Linked DNA regions of Danio rerio. The protein of the gene in region 1 interacts with the protein of each later gene in a biochemical or structural test. Links are inferred from orthologs where the notes say so. Each region holds a gene or a part of one and is shown in the gene's direction. Other genes may lie near its edges. The genes, in order: cbx5, chaf1a, lbr and smarca4a.

The links.
Region 2: the proteins of cbx5 (region 1) and chaf1a form a complex in vitro, tested with the Homo sapiens proteins (2 studies listed by BioGRID). The link is inferred for Danio rerio from reciprocal best matches to the Homo sapiens genes CBX5 and CHAF1A.
Region 3: the proteins of cbx5 (region 1) and lbr form a complex in vitro, tested with the Homo sapiens proteins (2 studies listed by BioGRID, with this or other methods). The link is inferred for Danio rerio from reciprocal best matches to the Homo sapiens genes CBX5 and LBR.
Region 4: the proteins of cbx5 (region 1) and smarca4a form a complex in vitro, tested with the Homo sapiens proteins (2 studies listed by BioGRID). The link is inferred for Danio rerio from reciprocal best matches to the Homo sapiens genes CBX5 and SMARCA4.

The regions. Positions count from the first base shown.
Region 1 is NC_133198.1:39,403,218-39,406,356, reverse strand, and holds the end of cbx5 (chromobox protein homolog 5), read left to right. Parts: intron 1-1,065; coding exon 1,066-1,207; 3' UTR 1,208-2,235; downstream 2,236-3,139. UniProt on the Homo sapiens protein: Component of heterochromatin that recognizes and binds histone H3 tails methylated at 'Lys-9' (H3K9me), leading to epigenetic repression. In contrast, it is excluded from chromatin when 'Tyr-41' of histone H3 is phosphorylated (H3Y41ph).
Region 2 is NC_133197.1:22,140,002-22,144,128, reverse strand, and holds part of chaf1a (chromatin assembly factor 1 subunit A), read left to right. Parts: intron 1-802; coding exon 803-1,047; intron 1,048-1,135; coding exon 1,136-1,196; intron 1,197-1,278; coding exon 1,279-1,347; intron 1,348-3,833; coding exon 3,834-4,048; intron 4,049-4,127. UniProt on the Homo sapiens protein: Acts as a component of the histone chaperone complex chromatin assembly factor 1 (CAF-1), which assembles histone octamers onto DNA during replication and repair.
Region 3 is NC_133195.1:39,684,152-39,688,935, reverse strand, and holds the start of lbr (delta(14)-sterol reductase LBR), read left to right. Parts: upstream 1-1,630; 5' UTR 1,631-1,688; intron 1,689-4,784. UniProt on the Homo sapiens protein: Catalyzes the reduction of the C14-unsaturated bond of lanosterol, as part of the metabolic pathway leading to cholesterol biosynthesis.
Region 4 is NC_133178.1:18,046,646-18,050,772, forward strand, and holds part of smarca4a (SWI/SNF related BAF chromatin remodeling complex subunit ATPase 4a), read left to right. Parts: intron 1-70; coding exon 71-180; intron 181-285; coding exon 286-433; intron 434-820; coding exon 821-984; intron 985-2,201; coding exon 2,202-2,268; intron 2,269-2,366; coding exon 2,367-2,477; intron 2,478-2,554; coding exon 2,555-2,797; exon of another isoform or gene 2,798-2,924; intron 2,925-3,027; exon of another isoform or gene 3,028-4,127. UniProt on the Homo sapiens protein: ATPase involved in transcriptional activation and repression of select genes by chromatin remodeling (alteration of DNA-nucleosome topology).

The DNA.
Region 1 (3,139 bases):
ATGAGCCGTCTCTTTAAAATCTAAAATCAAGGCCTCTTTTTTTTCAAAACAGCTTTTAGACTAAAAATTAAGTACTCCGATTTTATTTGGATCCAAGCACATGGGGACCTCAAGATACATGCTAATGATAAAAATAAGGCAGGCTGTGTTTAGCTGGACAATTTTGATTGAATCACCTGAAGTGGAGGTTGAAACCATAGTGTTAATCGCCACATTTACACCTGCCATTATGTCTGGAAATTATTCTAATGTCCCTTTTTAAAAAGCACATTCACACCCTTTGTGTGACTGAATAGGATGGAGGATGAGGATGGAACTGTTCATTTCTCTCCTTTCTCCAACTATTTACAGTTGTATGTTTGAAAGCGTTCAATGGAGTGTACACTCTGCATTTATTTGTTTACCTTATTTACAGTTTACATCTGTTTTTAAGTAATTGCATTTCTTGATTAGTAAACCAACTTTAAGGTTGTATTTAGCTTAGCAAACAATTTATGCTGGATTTTCTGTATAGATCCGTTTTTTGCCTCTGTTACCTTTTGCATTGTAAAGCATGCTTGGCATTATAAACCATTTATTATTCTAATAGTCTCTAACCATGCGTCAAATGTTACAGTAAAATAAGTCAGCTTACATTTTTACAATCAATGAAACTTCCATTTTCTGCATATTTCAGTGTTCACTATCACATATTCAGAAATTTCTAATTTACATCTGTAAATTGGGCCCCACATACTTGTTGCATAAACGGCGTAAATCGCACTTAAGCTGCGTTTATTTGAGAGCGCAAAAGATTTGCGCTTGAGCCGCGTATATTTAAGGGGGCGTGCAAGAGGTTTTGTGCACAAGCAGAGGAAATCAGCGCGTATTGGAGAGTAGAGCACGTAAATACGATCTTGACCTGTAATACTTCGCTCACAACATTGTCCATTTGTCATTGAAACCACGCCATAGGTATTTCTATTTGTCTAAAAGGTCTGCTGCCACAGCTGAAAAAAAATCCTAGAGGAAACACTGCACTTGCTGCGAAATTAACTTTTCGTTGTTTCTGCTGTCCTGCTACAGGAAGGACTCTGACGAGGCAGACCTTGTGCTTGCAAAAGAAGCCAATCACAAGTGCCCACAGATTGTCATTGCCTTCTACGAGGAGCGTCTGACCTGGCATGAAGACGGAGACAAGAAGGAGAAGAGTGCCACAGCGGTGTAAAGGGCAGAGGTTTGGGAAAGACATACAGTCCTCCAAAACCTTGCACCGATGACACTCTCATAGCCAACTTTTAACGGACCATTTAGAAAACGAAAGGCCAGCGAGTATCGGAGGTTTACTGCCCACCACAACAACCTCCGTCCACCTTCACCAAAACACATCTCTCATCAGACAGAGCGAACGGTGGCTGCGGCAGAGCGGTGGAATGTGGAAAACTCTTACTTCTCTTACTCTCTCTGATCTTCCTTCTGTTTTGTCATGATTTGTGTATTCGTGCCCCTACAACTATGTTCTTATGATGTGTTGTGTGCTAGTGTAGATGTGAAACGATGAAAAAAAACCCGTACATGTCCAACTTTTAACTTTTATTCGTTCAGATTTCACAGTATTGCGGAACATGACTGAATGAAATCAGTCGAGTTTGCGTTCGTTAACATCTGCAATGCTGGATGAAAAAGCGACGCCATCGTTTTTTATTTACAAAACTGCTTCTTAATTGATGCCGTTCGCATTTTGCTTATTTTTTTCCCCCCAATCAAGTAGATTTAAGTTTGCTTTATTGCAATTTTAACTTTAAAAAAAGTCCTTTGTGGGCCAAATTATCATACGATTTTTATTGGGCTTGTTTGTTTTTTATCAGTACATCTACCTAAATGATCTATATCTTATTACCCAGACTAAAATCAGGACATTTGGATAAATTTTAACATCTGTGTAAAAATATCTTTTAAAATGTCAACCTTGGCCCTTTTTATCCGCTATTCGATCTTATCACTGTTGCTTGCAGGAGGACAGACAATCGTCATCATGTGAGTGTGTAAAGGGACATTTCTATCTATTTCTACACACTTTTCTTCCATGATTTTATTTTCCCTCCATAAAACGGAAGCGATTATACTCCCTCTTGTGGCTGATTTGCTGAACACATTCCCTGTTTGACCTCATTCACACGTAGTTCAAGCATTGTCGGGTTCTTATATTACTTTTTTAACCTAGAGTTGATTCAATAAAATGGTGTTTATCAAGGTCACATGACTACACTAGAGTTTTGTGCGCTTCTTCGCAAAGACACTGAACAAAAGCTACTGATATCGACAGCTGTAAAAGAGTGAGAATGGTTTAGCTGGAGATGGAATAGTGTGTATCGGGGGGATGTTTCTAAACATTTATACAGGGTTAAACATGATGTTGTAGGTACATTTCTATTATTTTTTTGTATGCTTTTATAATCCTGCCATGATCATTTATACATGTGACTCATTTCTAGCTGATAGAAGTTTTTAAAATGTGCAACAATTATGTCTATTTGCTATTTTAAGTTCACAGTCGTTTTTAATGTACTGTAACAAGCTGTAGTAAATCTAGTTTCCAACACTTCAGTTTTTGGAAACTCCAAACCCTGGGTTTTGGACTCAAGTCACGCACAATACATTTCATTGTAGTGCTGAGATTATGCAAGTTTTACTTTGTGCAATGTTTGTGGGGAAAACCAGTTTTTAACAGCTTATAACGATTGATCAGATAGCAGTTGGCTGAATCTGCACATTTTGCGCTATAAAAAAAACAACAGTGCTGATGTGAACCAGCAGATGTCATAATAGAGCAACTCTTGTCTGTTTGTCTCAGCTGGACGAAAAAAAAAAAGTGTGTGGCTGTAAGAGTTGCACAGTGATTTTTGACCAAATCCAGCAGATCAAAATCTATACTGTTGGACACATTTGTATTTTAAAACATTTGCATCCGCATGCAAAGTCAGTTTGCTTATATTTAGGTTCTCATTTGTGCATATTTTCTCAATTATGCCATATTAGGACGTCACTTTCAGTAGTATTTATTCAGTTTTGTGCCAGAACATTTATATGAATGCCATACTTTTCTATTTTATTTGCGCTTTACAACGCATATTTTTCACATGACAGTCTGCAGATTGTT
Region 2 (4,127 bases), on another chromosome or scaffold:
GCATTTATGCTTCTACGCGCTGTTTGTGTTGCTCTGCAATAACACTTCCGAAACGCTAGATGGCAGTGAGGTTTTTATGTTCCTCTGTGTCCTGTTTCTTCGCTGGTGTTTTGTTTTTGTTTCGTGGGAACTGGGGGACATGCAACAACTTTAATCATAAGGTAAACACAAAACACCAGTTTCCATCTATAGCTCGCGCGGCACTCGGTCCTGCCCACACTTGTCAGCGCTACCAAGCCGACCAATCACAAAGCTTGCGATAAGCGTCTTTGCTACATGATGTAGTTACATTTTTTGAGAGGTGCGCGTCAGCCATGGAGAGAGCTATGCATCCACGCGTAGGCTGCGCTGGAGCCTATCTAGTTTTTTTTTGTTGAACACCTGTGAACATTGACTTCCATAGCAGAAACAGCAAATACTGTGGAAGTAATTTTTTAAGGTTATTTATTTTGTTCAACAGAAAAAAGAAACTCAAACTGGTTTGTGAAGGCTGAGTAAATGTAACTATTTCTTTAGATGTGGTTATAATTTGTTGAAAACAGTAATGCCAGAAGATTGACCTACATTGAATGAATGAGAAATGTTTGCACAGTCTGTCTACAATGACTGTGAAGCTTTGAGTTTAATCACAAAACCAGTAAAGTTGCTGTGAATGGCTGAAGTTTGGCCTTTAGAGGTTAATGCATTTTTTCCCCGTCCCTCAAATTTGATCCAATTGTTAAAGAGTTAAAGGTGAATTGATTGTTGTCGCTGTGGAATTTTGTGCTTCAGCTGAATAGCCCTTTGTCTTTTTGTCCCTCAGAGTGTTCAAGAGCAGGAGGAGAAGCAGCGACAGAGGGATGAGAAAGAACGGCTGAAACAGGAGGCCAAAGCTGCCAAGGAGAAGAAGAAAGAGGAGGCCCGCAAGATGAAGGAGGAGAAGGAGAGGGAGAAAAAAGAGAAAAAGGAGAAAGATGAAAAGGAGCGGCGGGAAAAAAAGGAGAGGGACGAAAAAGAAAAAGCAGATAAATTAAAAGCTAAAGAAGAGCAACGGCAGATGAAAATTGAGTAAGTGACCCAGTGTTTCACCACAATGGAAACTGCGATGGGGTTTACCCTAATTTGAGAATTTAACTCTGTTTTAAACTTTATTTAGGGCCAAACTAGAAGAGAAAAGGAAGAAGGAAGAGGAAAAACGGTTAAAGGAAGAGAAAGATGTGAGTGTTTCATTGCTGAGAGTCTTGGATGTGACTTTGGCAAGCTGTGCAGGCCCTCATAGCATTTTTGCATCTGTTTTAGCGAATTAAAGCTGAGAAGGCTGAGATTACACGGTTTCTGCAAAAGCCCAAGACCCAGTTGGCACCAAAGGTAAGAATCACATAAGCATTTACACCCCCATAAGCACATAAACTGTAAATAAAATTTAATCAAAAACAATTTTAACAACCTCCGGAAGTGTTAAGGACCATGCTCAGATCGAGTAGTCAGTCACCGATCACTATTGGCCGATAATCGCTTGGTGGGGGGATTGATTTGCAATATCTACAAAGGCCGATCAGATGATCAGAAACTCGAGACACATTTTCTTTACATGGTGCAAGAACAGAGTGTGTGAATTGTGTGTGCCTATGCAACAGAGGGTTATGCAAACCCTCTACTTATGCAACTGAATATGTGGATATTAGTGGAAAATATGATTTCTTTACCTGTCCCATTTGAAGGGCTCCACAACAGCTGCCATAGCCTCATATCGTCCATAATTAGGCGTACTCAACAGGCGGCGCCGCGTCACCATGAAGATAGGGTATTTTTAAATAATAATTTATTACTTGCACCATGCCTTTAGGGCTATTCACCCATCTCATCCAAAACTGTGTTGAAAACATGATGAGCGCCGCTTTTTTCAGCAAGTTCAAATCCCTCACAAACTTCTGCTCTTTCCGCATTTGTGGTTAAGTGCATGTTAGGGCCGGGTGGTATATCGGGTTCTGGGGATGTATCAATATGATTCCCCAACGCCGTACGGTATTATCTAGTATCTTTCATGTCGATATGGTTTAAAGCCACATGTGTGCATTCTGTGCAAAATAAACCACTCCAAGGTAGCACGCAAGCTCCACTTGCACAAATAAGCGCATACGCAAATGAATAATTCACTCCAAGAGTCATACAATATTTGAACGTAGAATATTCATACAAGAACGAACGTAGACACCTTGTCAAATTGACAAGCAGCACCTGAATGTGTTCAAAAGAATTAAAAATACCTAAATGGGACAAATTTATACCGCATTTTGAAAGTGAAACCACCTCATATTCACTGATTATAAGTTCAGTATTTATTACATTCTCTTCTTTACATTTACATTAAAACACATTTAGCTCTTATATGCTTAACCAGCATTTAATCACAGTACTCTGAAACTATTTCGTTACTTTTCATATCTACAGTCTATTCGTTTTCATCTCCTTTAATATTTAGTAAAAATAGTTTAGTCAAAAACAAAAAAACTGTGTTTTTTTACATGGAGTGAAAGACTTGTTTTTAGACGTCTTCGATATGTGCACTTTTTAATAATTGTGCAAAAACATACAGCTGAATTGTTGTTTGTAAATCACAAAACTGCTATACAGGATTACTTATAAAAACACTGTAATTGTGACATAAAATACTGTGTTTCATATTTACATTCTATGTGGTTCTTTTCTATCCTACAATACGTTTTGTAGTGTTACTATTTAAGTGTAAATTTTTTGCTCTGACAATGTAGCTGTTTTCTATGGTTCTGTTTACTTTGTTGTTTGCACAACAGCACAGTAGAGCTGTGTATAGTGTTAAGCAGGCAAAAAAAACTGTACTTGATTTATTTATCAATCATTTTTTTATAATTTGAAATGTTGTGCAACTTGTAGTTTTAAGCAGGAGAAAAACCCGTACTATGTTTTTATCGAAGATTTTGTGCAGCTGTTATTTTTTTGTGCAGCTGTTTATTTGTAAACAAATATATTTTGCTCAAAAATGTTTAATAAAGTTTTAATAAAGGCTTTGACTCTAAAGTGACCATTTATGGGAAAATACCGGATATATATCGTATGCCATCGTTCGTCCTAAAAATACAGAGATATGATATTTTGTCCATATCGCCCAGCCCTAGTGCACGTGGGCCAGAGCCATAGAGGGCTATGGTGTAGACTACACTCGTATAGCATTTTAATGATGCAGTATCGCGTCTTTACAATTTATATTGTGTAAATGGCAGATGTTCCTTATAGCAGCATAAAAACCCAAACATATTCAAATTGTAACGCAACGCTCAAATTACAATAAATTGAGGTGTCACGTCTTTTGGTGTTAAAATTAGAAATGACAATGTGTTTTAAAAGCATTACCCCCAACATTCTGCCTCTTTTCTTAGTGGATGGCAAAATTAAAGATTATCATGGGCCAACTTTGGCCCTTTAGGCCCTAGTTTGAGTCTATATCTGCCCTACACTGTTCTTATTAGCTAACCAAGTACAGGCTGCTATGTTTTAGGTTGGAATGTTGCTCATCAATAAATGCAGTTGTCATATGATATTTGTAATATACATTTATAAAAACATGAATAATAAAAAGCTTCAATTAAACCCTGTAATCAGTGATCAAATTGATTAAGATGCGTCTTTAAAAGGTAGTTCACTCAAATCTAAAAATTGTCCTTCACTCAACTTTGACTTGTTTTAAACCAGTTTTTTTTGTTCTGTTAAAAATGTTTGAAATAATCAATCATTAACATTCATAGTATTTGTTCTTTTTGGCCATTTTGTCAAGTAATGTGTTAATGTAGGCATTTTTGTATGTTCTTGTGTTTCAGACTCTGGCTTCTGCCTGCGGGAAGTTTGCTCCGTTTGAGATCAAAGCACACATGTCTCTGGCACCGCTAACTCGAGTACAATGTGAAGACTCTGTGCTAGAGGACCTGGACCGCTATCTTGCCCAACCCGACAGTACTCTGAATGGACTGAAGGACTGGACAGGGCACAAACCTCGCAGTTCAGGTCCCACCAGACCCAGGCATAGTGCACAAGGGTAAAGCCACACTGAGCCTGTTGCTTGGATTTGTTTGTATTCAATATATACTCGTGCAGAACACTGTCAGCTGCATTTG
Region 3 (4,784 bases), on another chromosome or scaffold:
CATTGCCCTCCACAGTATAACAAAGAGCATAGAATCTCTCAAGTCATTTAAAGCTCTTTGGTATAAGTATGAAAAACAAGCTATTAACTTAAATTTCGGTTATTTGAGCGTTTCACTGACCCTTCTCGTGCCTTTACCCATTAATTACCAACTATATTTGACTTAAAAACTTATGGCATTTATAAGTGTGACGTCGTCTGTCTGTCCTGTCCCTCTCTCTTCTTCTCATATCTCACCGATCAACTGTCTCGCCTGAAGAGGACTCCATTTTGTAAACCTCGATTCTCTTCAAGCTCAAATGCCTCGCCTCCAATCAACGCTCACGCAAAGCCCTCCTTCGACCAATCAGAAAATTCAGAAATTTAAAAACAGGTCGCCCCACCCAATCACAGCGCTTCCCGCCCTCAAAACGCTGGTAGGTTGAGCAGTCACAGAGGGAGGAACGAGTTCAGAGCGGGGGCCAGCGTTTTAAAACAATATTCTTTATTTTATGAACTTCCACGGATAAGCTTTAGTGATTTTTAGGAAAATAAGGTCGACTGAAGGTAAGAAAGTTTTATAAATTGACTTTGCGTGCTTAAAGTTTTTGTCTGGGAATGTATTTATAGGGATTGCGTAGTTAACGGTACAGAAATACATTCAGCGCTCAGTCCGACCCAACTCTCTTTCTGAAGTACACATAACATGTTGCTTGTCTTTCTGCATATCTCTATATGAAAGATACAGTTTAGAAAACATTATGTTTTCTATTATGTGTAATTCTCAAAGCTGTTATTTGTTGTTTTGGTATTTGACTTGAATTGAAACTCCGGTTTCCAGCCGAGTCGTTGCACAGGAAACTTGGGCACGGCGCGCATTTACTGCTCCTCCATCACAGCTCGTCTGTTTTACCACACTAATACAACTTTATACTGTTTTATCAACTAGTTTTGAATTCATAATTTATATCGAACCTTTCAGTTTCATTACGTTGTTTGTGCACGAAAGTGCACGTGACTCTCTCCACTCTTGTGTAAAATAATCGCACATAAAGATCATTTTACTCTGCTTTGACAGTAAATATGTGTTAAATACACTATACGTTCATTGTAATAACTGTTTTTGTTCCCATAGTTCATTGATTCTCGTTTAATGTTGCTGTTTACGAGTCTCTCTCACATGCAGACTGACAATGGTTTTGAATACATGACGTTTTCCCTCCATTCCGGTGTCATTCTTCTGCTGTGTTAAAGGAGCAGCATGGCAATCCACACTAGAGCCTCTAGATCACATTTAAACTACACAAAAGCTTAACACAAACAGCTTAAATTTCCATATTGACTTTTTATGAAATATGTAGGATTTATATCCAATCTTCAAATATATAAGATGTGGTGTTCTGTTGTAGTGTTTTTTGAAGTAAGATTAAAAATGAAAACCGTGACCATTGTTGTCTGAAATACTATTGCTTTAAAAGATTTAAGTAGTAGTAGTAGTAGTAGTTGAGTTGTAGTAGTAGTTTTGAATAGCTGCTGGCAGTGATAGTAAGCGCGCGCGTGTCGTCGTGTGCCCACATATTTGCATAACAAAACCAGGCAGACTCCGCCCACTCACATTCTCAGTTTAAATCTTTTGCTCTGTGGTTTCACCTAAACTCCCTGAAGCACATGGGATATCTGGATTTCTGCAGGACTTCAACTCAGTGCTGGGTGTGTGTCAGTGAGCTCTGGATCAGGAATGTCTGGAATGTGCTTCATTGGATTAGATGGTTTTAGGGTTGAAGGCTTATGTTTTTATGGCCTTTCTCTCCATATGGCTTTAATATGAAGTTCGGGGTGTTTCCTGTATGGTGTGTCTGCTAAAAGGGTATCTTCTAGATGTGTGAGCAGTTGTAATTATGATTCTGGCTTCATTTTGACAAATTTAATGTGTTGGTGGTAGGGCTGGGCCGATAAACGATATTATATCAAATTGCGATAATTTATGTGTTGATAACTATGATTAGCCTTGGGCTTTTTTACTCTATATTGATCTAAGAGCCAATCACACAGCAGGAATGTACAGCAATGGAAATCTAGAAGTGTGTTGATATAATTTCCTCTGCTAAAAATTGGTTATGCTATTTAATTGACGCTTTCATTTTTGCGGCTTCAGTCATTGTTGGGATACTCTTGAACCTGTTAGCATTAACAACTAAATATATTGTTATTGTTCAATATGGAAAATAATTAATCGAGGTTGCATTTTTGCCATATCGCCCAGCCCTAGTTAGTGGTAAGGAAACTGTTTCATGTATTGGTGTTTGGTTTTTGCTCTGTGAATTTTTAATATCTGAATTTTAGAATGTTCACATGTGTGTTATGATGAATTGCTGTCTTTTAATGGTAGACTGGTGTTTTTTTATATTTAGAGATTGTTTAGCCTTTTATTTTTCATTTTACATTACAGATGTTTTGTTGAAATATGTCATAAGGGATATTCAGAAAATTATTTCAGTTACATTTTAAGCTTTTATTATACTGGAATAATAATAATAGATTTTTAAAATTATTTTTGGTGGGTTTATTTTCTATTATTATATTCTGCATAATTTTGCAGTCTGAATTAGCCATGGGACGATTACCGGTTTCGAGGTTTACCGCAGTTTGGGAAAGACAAGGTTTTAAAACCGCAAAAATTCTGTTATACCATTCCTAAGGTATGTGTAAGGTATTTTTGTGTGTGTGTTTGTGATAAAGAAATCTGTGTTTTTGAAATCAATGAAGACATCAGAAGTCAATGATTTAATTATGAATTATTTACCGTGACATGTTTACTGTTTTAGAATATTATAAATGTTTCTTAAAATAAAATATATTGTGTTCAATAAGGTAAAAAGTAGTTTTTTTAACCTGACATTTTAAAAAAAGCACATTTTAGACCAGTAATCACAATATCGTGAAACAGTGATATTTTTATCCAGGGTTATCATACCGTCCGAAACTTATACTGGCCCATGCCTAGTCTGAATTAGGGCTGCACAGAAAAAACATTAATCACGATTAATAATGGCAATTATTGTTTTGATTAACATTTATTCACTTGTGTATTATTGAATTTCACAGCCACAAATATAGAAAACAAACAAACAAACATGACAATATTTATTTACTGATTGTCACAAATATCGTTATTGTGATAAAAAATATTATTAATCGTACAGCCCTAGTCTGAATGGTTGTAGTTTTTATTTTTGTTAAATCTTTGCAGTAAGGTTTCATTTGTTAAAATAAGTTACGTTAATGTAGTCATGTAAAGCTTCTAAGCATTTATTCATCTTAGTTATTGTTGCTAATGTTAACTAATTCATATATTGGTAACCGATTAGGCATGGGCCGGTATATGATTCTGATGGTATTAGGGCTGGGCGATTTGGCCTAAAATCAAAATTCTGATTAATTGAGCATTTTAACTCAATTACGAATAATGAATGGTTCTTTTATTTATTTAATTTTTTGCCCTCTCTGTGCCTGTGGTATGTGCCTGTGTGAAGCCTGCTCCAGATCATTCACTGCACTTGACACAGAAGTGTAAACAGAGCGGGGTCACGTGACTCCACATGCGGTAAGGGAAGTAGTTGAAAAAAAAATTGACCTGGAAAATGTTGATCGATTAAAGGTTCTGAATGATTTTGATTACTTTTCAATTAATCACCCTGCCGTAGATGGTATGATAACCTTGGATAAAAATATTATGGTTTGACGGTATTGCAGGGCTCAACAATAAGGACTGCCCTATGGCCCGGGGCCAGTGTGAAAGATGCTTTGGACAGTAGACAGGATTATTACTGGCCCGATTGGGAAAGTGCTGCCTTGTCACTAAAGTTTAACTTGCCTGCGACTATTAGTCAATTGTGTGCATTTTAAGCTTGAGCTTTTTGGTCTTAAAATGCTATCTTCTCTGATGTCGATTGCTTTTCGGATCCTCCTATCTGTTTTGAAGCACGCTATTTTTTTCCGTATCCTGGTAACAACCAGTACAGCGAAGAGACGGCAACATGGCAGCAATATCAAATTAAAAGGCTAAATTAAAAACTTTTATAACGTCTTGGAAGCAGACATTTACATGAAAACACAACGAAAAAAATGGTGATTATTTTTATTTTTTATTTAATTAATTTATTTTTTTGCACAATTTGCCAGTCAGCCACCTTTTGTTAAATAATTTCAAACTGCAATAAAATACCTCCACATTTCCCATAATGCAATTTTCGTTTGCATAGCTCTGAATTGTGCTCATACATTTATTAACATTTTTCAAATATTGAAATTCTAGATTCACAGAAGTTATTTTTGACACATTATTTAAAATATGTGGCTAAAAAATAAGCATTAACTTGTCTTTTTTATTTATTTTTTTTTAATGGGGCCAGTGAAAATTTGGGCAGGGCAAGTAAAAATCTGAACCATTGGCCCGATTGGACCAGTAGAAAAAATCCTTAGTGTTGAACCCTGTATTGTGATTACTACTCTAAATGACATTTTTTTTAAAATATCCGGGTAAAAAACAAAAACTTTTTCCCCTTTGAACACAATATATTTTATATTGAGGAACATGTCAGACTAAATAATTCAAATAAATCATTGACTTCTGCTGTCTACATTAGTTTCAAAAACACAAATTTCTTTACAATTTAAAACTTCGTCTTTGGATGTCTTTTCTGCTGGAGATAATGTTGTCCAAAAAAAAACTAAAAAGAAAATAAATAAAAAAATCTTACATATACCATAAGAATGGTAAAACAGTAACTTTTGACTTTTCCAAAT
Region 4 (4,127 bases), on another chromosome or scaffold:
AATGTAGAATTAACAATGTCTCAAGATTTGTCCATCTTACTGTATGTCCATCTATTTTGATGCTTTAAAGGATGATGAGGAAGAGCCTCAGCCCTCTCAGGCCCCGACAGAGGAGAAGAAGGTGATTCCTGATCCAGACAGCGAGGATGTTTCTGAGGTTGATGCTCGTCACATTATTGAGTGAGTCATTGGATTTAGCCTGGCTACATGAGCTCTTGCTCATTTAATCATTCTGTTGTCATAATTGTAGTTATAAGTGAATGAAATCCATGATGTGTCTTACAGACATGCCAAGCAAGATGTAGACGATGAATACGGGAACTCTGCATTCATTCGGGGCCTGCAGTCATATTATGCTGTGGCCCACGCCGTCACAGAGAAGGTGGAAAAGCAATCGAGTCTGCTAGTGAACGGGCAGCTCAAACAATATCAGGTAGAAAAAGATATATTACTCTACAGTTTTTACTTTATTACAAACATGCTCTGTTTTAAAAATGTTTTAAACTAATTCCTGAGGTGCAGCTGATCACAGAGAGTTGGAACAGATCTTTTGGTCTCAGTGTCTTTGCAAATCCTATTCTGTGAACACGTTTATATGCATTGTATGCAACCCCCTCTACCATTCAGTGTGACCTTTTTTTCGACGTAATGCTTTTCTCTGAAGATACGTAACTTTTTCAGTTATTAATTATCATCACCGATCTCAGTTACCACAAAAGATCCCAGAAAATACTAAGATATGGATATAAAAACGAAAAATACACAGAGAGATTCTTGTTAATCTGGTGGCTTGTGCTTATTGCTTTCGTTCCGTCCACAGATTAAAGGTCTGGAGTGGCTGGTGTCTCTGTATAACAATAACCTAAATGGCATTCTGGCTGATGAAATGGGTTTGGGCAAAACTATCCAGACCATCGCACTCATCACCTACCTCATGGAGTTCAAACGCCTCAACGGACCCTTCCTTATCATCGTCCCCCTCTCGTAAGTCACTGGAGTTGCATGATACCAGAGGAAGAATTTGACAATATTTAGGTTTATGGATGAACGAAAAAATGTAAAAATATGAATATTCTGTAAATTATCGGGGTGATTTGTGAGTGCGTCTAGATCAGAGATGTCCAAAGTTGGCCTATGATAACCCATGGTTTGGCCCACTATCCCATCTGAAAAGAGAGGAAAAATGGGGGAGGGGCAGGGGTATGCCTTTAATAGAGATTGTCATTTCTAATTTAACACAATCTTTTATTTGTTTATTTTATTGTTAAGCTACAAAAAAGAAAGCTTGAATTAAATATTGGGAATGGATGAGATTTATTTAAATGTGCATTGAACTCAATTGTGTTATAAATAGAATTTATGTTAGTTTGTTTTCATTGTAATACGTTCATTATAAAATGTAAAAAAATTAGGGTGTATTAGCTAGCCCAATACGTTAAAGTCTATTTATTTATAAATATTATTTCAAAGAAATTGGGAAATTAGTCTTATAAATTTACTATCGGCCCTCAGATCTAAATTGTTTGTTTTTTGGCCCTTTATAAGAAAATATTTGGGAATCTCTGATCTCGATGGCAAAAAACAGTTAAATAAATCCAAATACATTTTTATGGGAATTAGGCTTTCTAGAATTGAACAGTTTTGGGTGTAGTAAGGATTTTTTTGGCATGTATTGTAGATTTGATGTTATGATTTTAGTGTCATTCATTTAAAATTGTTATTATAGTTAATAAAGTATTCTATTTAAATAGGAAATTTATTATAACTTATGGTATGTCATATACTATATTAGCACACCCTGTATATATATTTTCTTTATGGTATATTATGTACACTTTGCATTTTAATCTCAAGCATTTTTTTCTGGACAATAAAATATGCTGTGTAGAAATATTCATTATACACTTTTCCATCATCAATAGTGATATTTATTTATTTACTGTGAGCTGAGATGCAGCAAAACGATAACAAAATGTTCCAGTTATCCACATGATACAGCTCTTTACCCACTATGATTTGGGGTAATATTAGTACTTGAGAGGCAGTGCTCACCAAATATAAAATAAACTTGTATTGGGTCACACTGGGCCTGGGATATCTTTATTTTTAGCAGATAATCATGCACCTCTCTTCAAAAATAATCAACCCATGGGCATTGCCAAGATGCATGAATGATTAGTGATTTTTCTGTTGTCTTATAGGACTCTGTCGAACTGGGTGTACGAGTTTGATAAGTGGGCTCCATCTGTGGTGAAAGTTTCTTACAAGGTGATTTAAATCAAATGCTGTAATACAAAATAAACCACAACCGAAGAACCCTGTAGGATATTTAACACATTTTTTTTTTTTGCTTATTTTCATCTTAGGGCTCTCCTGCTGCTCGCCGTGCGTTCCTTCCCATTTTGCGCAGTGGCAAATTCAACGTACTGGTCACTACTTATGAATACATCATCAAAGATAAGCAAGTGCTGGCCAAGGTATTAACCTGACCTTTAATCATTAATCATTCTCAGACCAGTGTTTATTCAGTGTCTGATGATGCCTTCTCTTCCAGCTCCGTTGGAAGTACATGATCGTGGATGAAGGTCACCGCATGAAAAATCACCACTGTAAACTGACTCAGGTATTAAATACGCACTACCTGGCACCCCGGCGTGTGCTGCTAACTGGCACTCCACTGCAAAACAAGCTGCCCGAGCTGTGGGCGCTGCTCAACTTCCTGCTGCCCACCATCTTCAAGAGCTGCAGCACCTTTGAGCAGTGGTTCAACGCGCCCTTCGCCATGACTGGAGAGAAGGTAAAATGGTTTTCACAACAATAACAGTAACTATAAGGATAATGTGTTAAAGGGGCCATATACTGTATTGGTTTAATAAGTTAAAATGTTCTCTGATATCTACTTAGTAGGTTTATGGCTTCAGAAAGTAAACAAAAGAAATCTTCAGAAACGCTTTTATAAGCTAATTTATTATCTTAAATACCCCTAGAATATCTGCTCTACTCAACTTTGACCTGCTGCGATTTCAGACACTCATACACACAGAGCATGATGCAAGCTGAACACAGACAAATATAACCCAATCAGAGTAACCTTAACCTATTATGCTCACCAGATCTGTTGTGGGTAAAAACTAAATTATGATTAAACTTGACAAAAGAGAGTGAAAAGAGAGATGTATTGCATTGTATTTTGAGCTACATTCAAAGAGAAAACAGCCACGATTCAATATCAGCTTCTGTATGAACGGATGACAGTTGAGGTGAGTGATTTGACAAGATTCAAGAGTCTACATGTGTTTGTTAATACACATATGCTTCACATTTCACAATAAACATGATAAATTAACAAAAGATGTAACCAAGCATACCATATGCCTCTTCAGAGTGGAGAGGAATAAGTGTATAATCTGTAAATCTTGGATTTTGCATCCTGAGGCGAGTTTTAAACATGTCTTATGCTGTTTGGCGCTTGTGTTTTTACAATAAAAGTCCAACATGCATAGGAAGTGAAATACACACTTAAAATAACTAAGGGAGGAAAATGATCACTGGTATCACTAGAAAACGTTTGGCTTATCAAACACAGCCTGAGGTGTGCATATTAATAATTTCAGGGCTTTTGTTTGCTCTCAGAGCTGCAGGTGAGTTGTGTTCTCTTGATTATGTCAGTTGCTCATCAGGTCAGGATGAATGACCTAAAGTAAGGATGCATGCAAATACAGAAGACATAGCTCATGAGTCTCGTCACAGTTTGTTTTGTCTTCTGATTGGCCCATTGTTTACCTGGGTTTTACACTTGTGGAATTGACATTAATACGATGAAACTGGTGTCTGAGGCACACAGTATGCCCATATCCATATATTGATCGTTTATTATTTTACTATGCCTTGGTATACCCAGATTTTCATCATAAGGCACCTTTGTAATGTTAATTTTCAGCTTTTTAGAAGTGCACACTGCAGTTTTGTCATCTGCTGCTTTAAAAAGTTGCACTCAAAATGGTCAGTCTCAGGATTGCCAGGTTTTTGCAACAAAACTAGCTTAATTGCCAGTCAAAATTAGCCCAATAATATCAAAACACAATAAAATATGCCACTTTCCATTTGTAAAATGCATATTTGACATT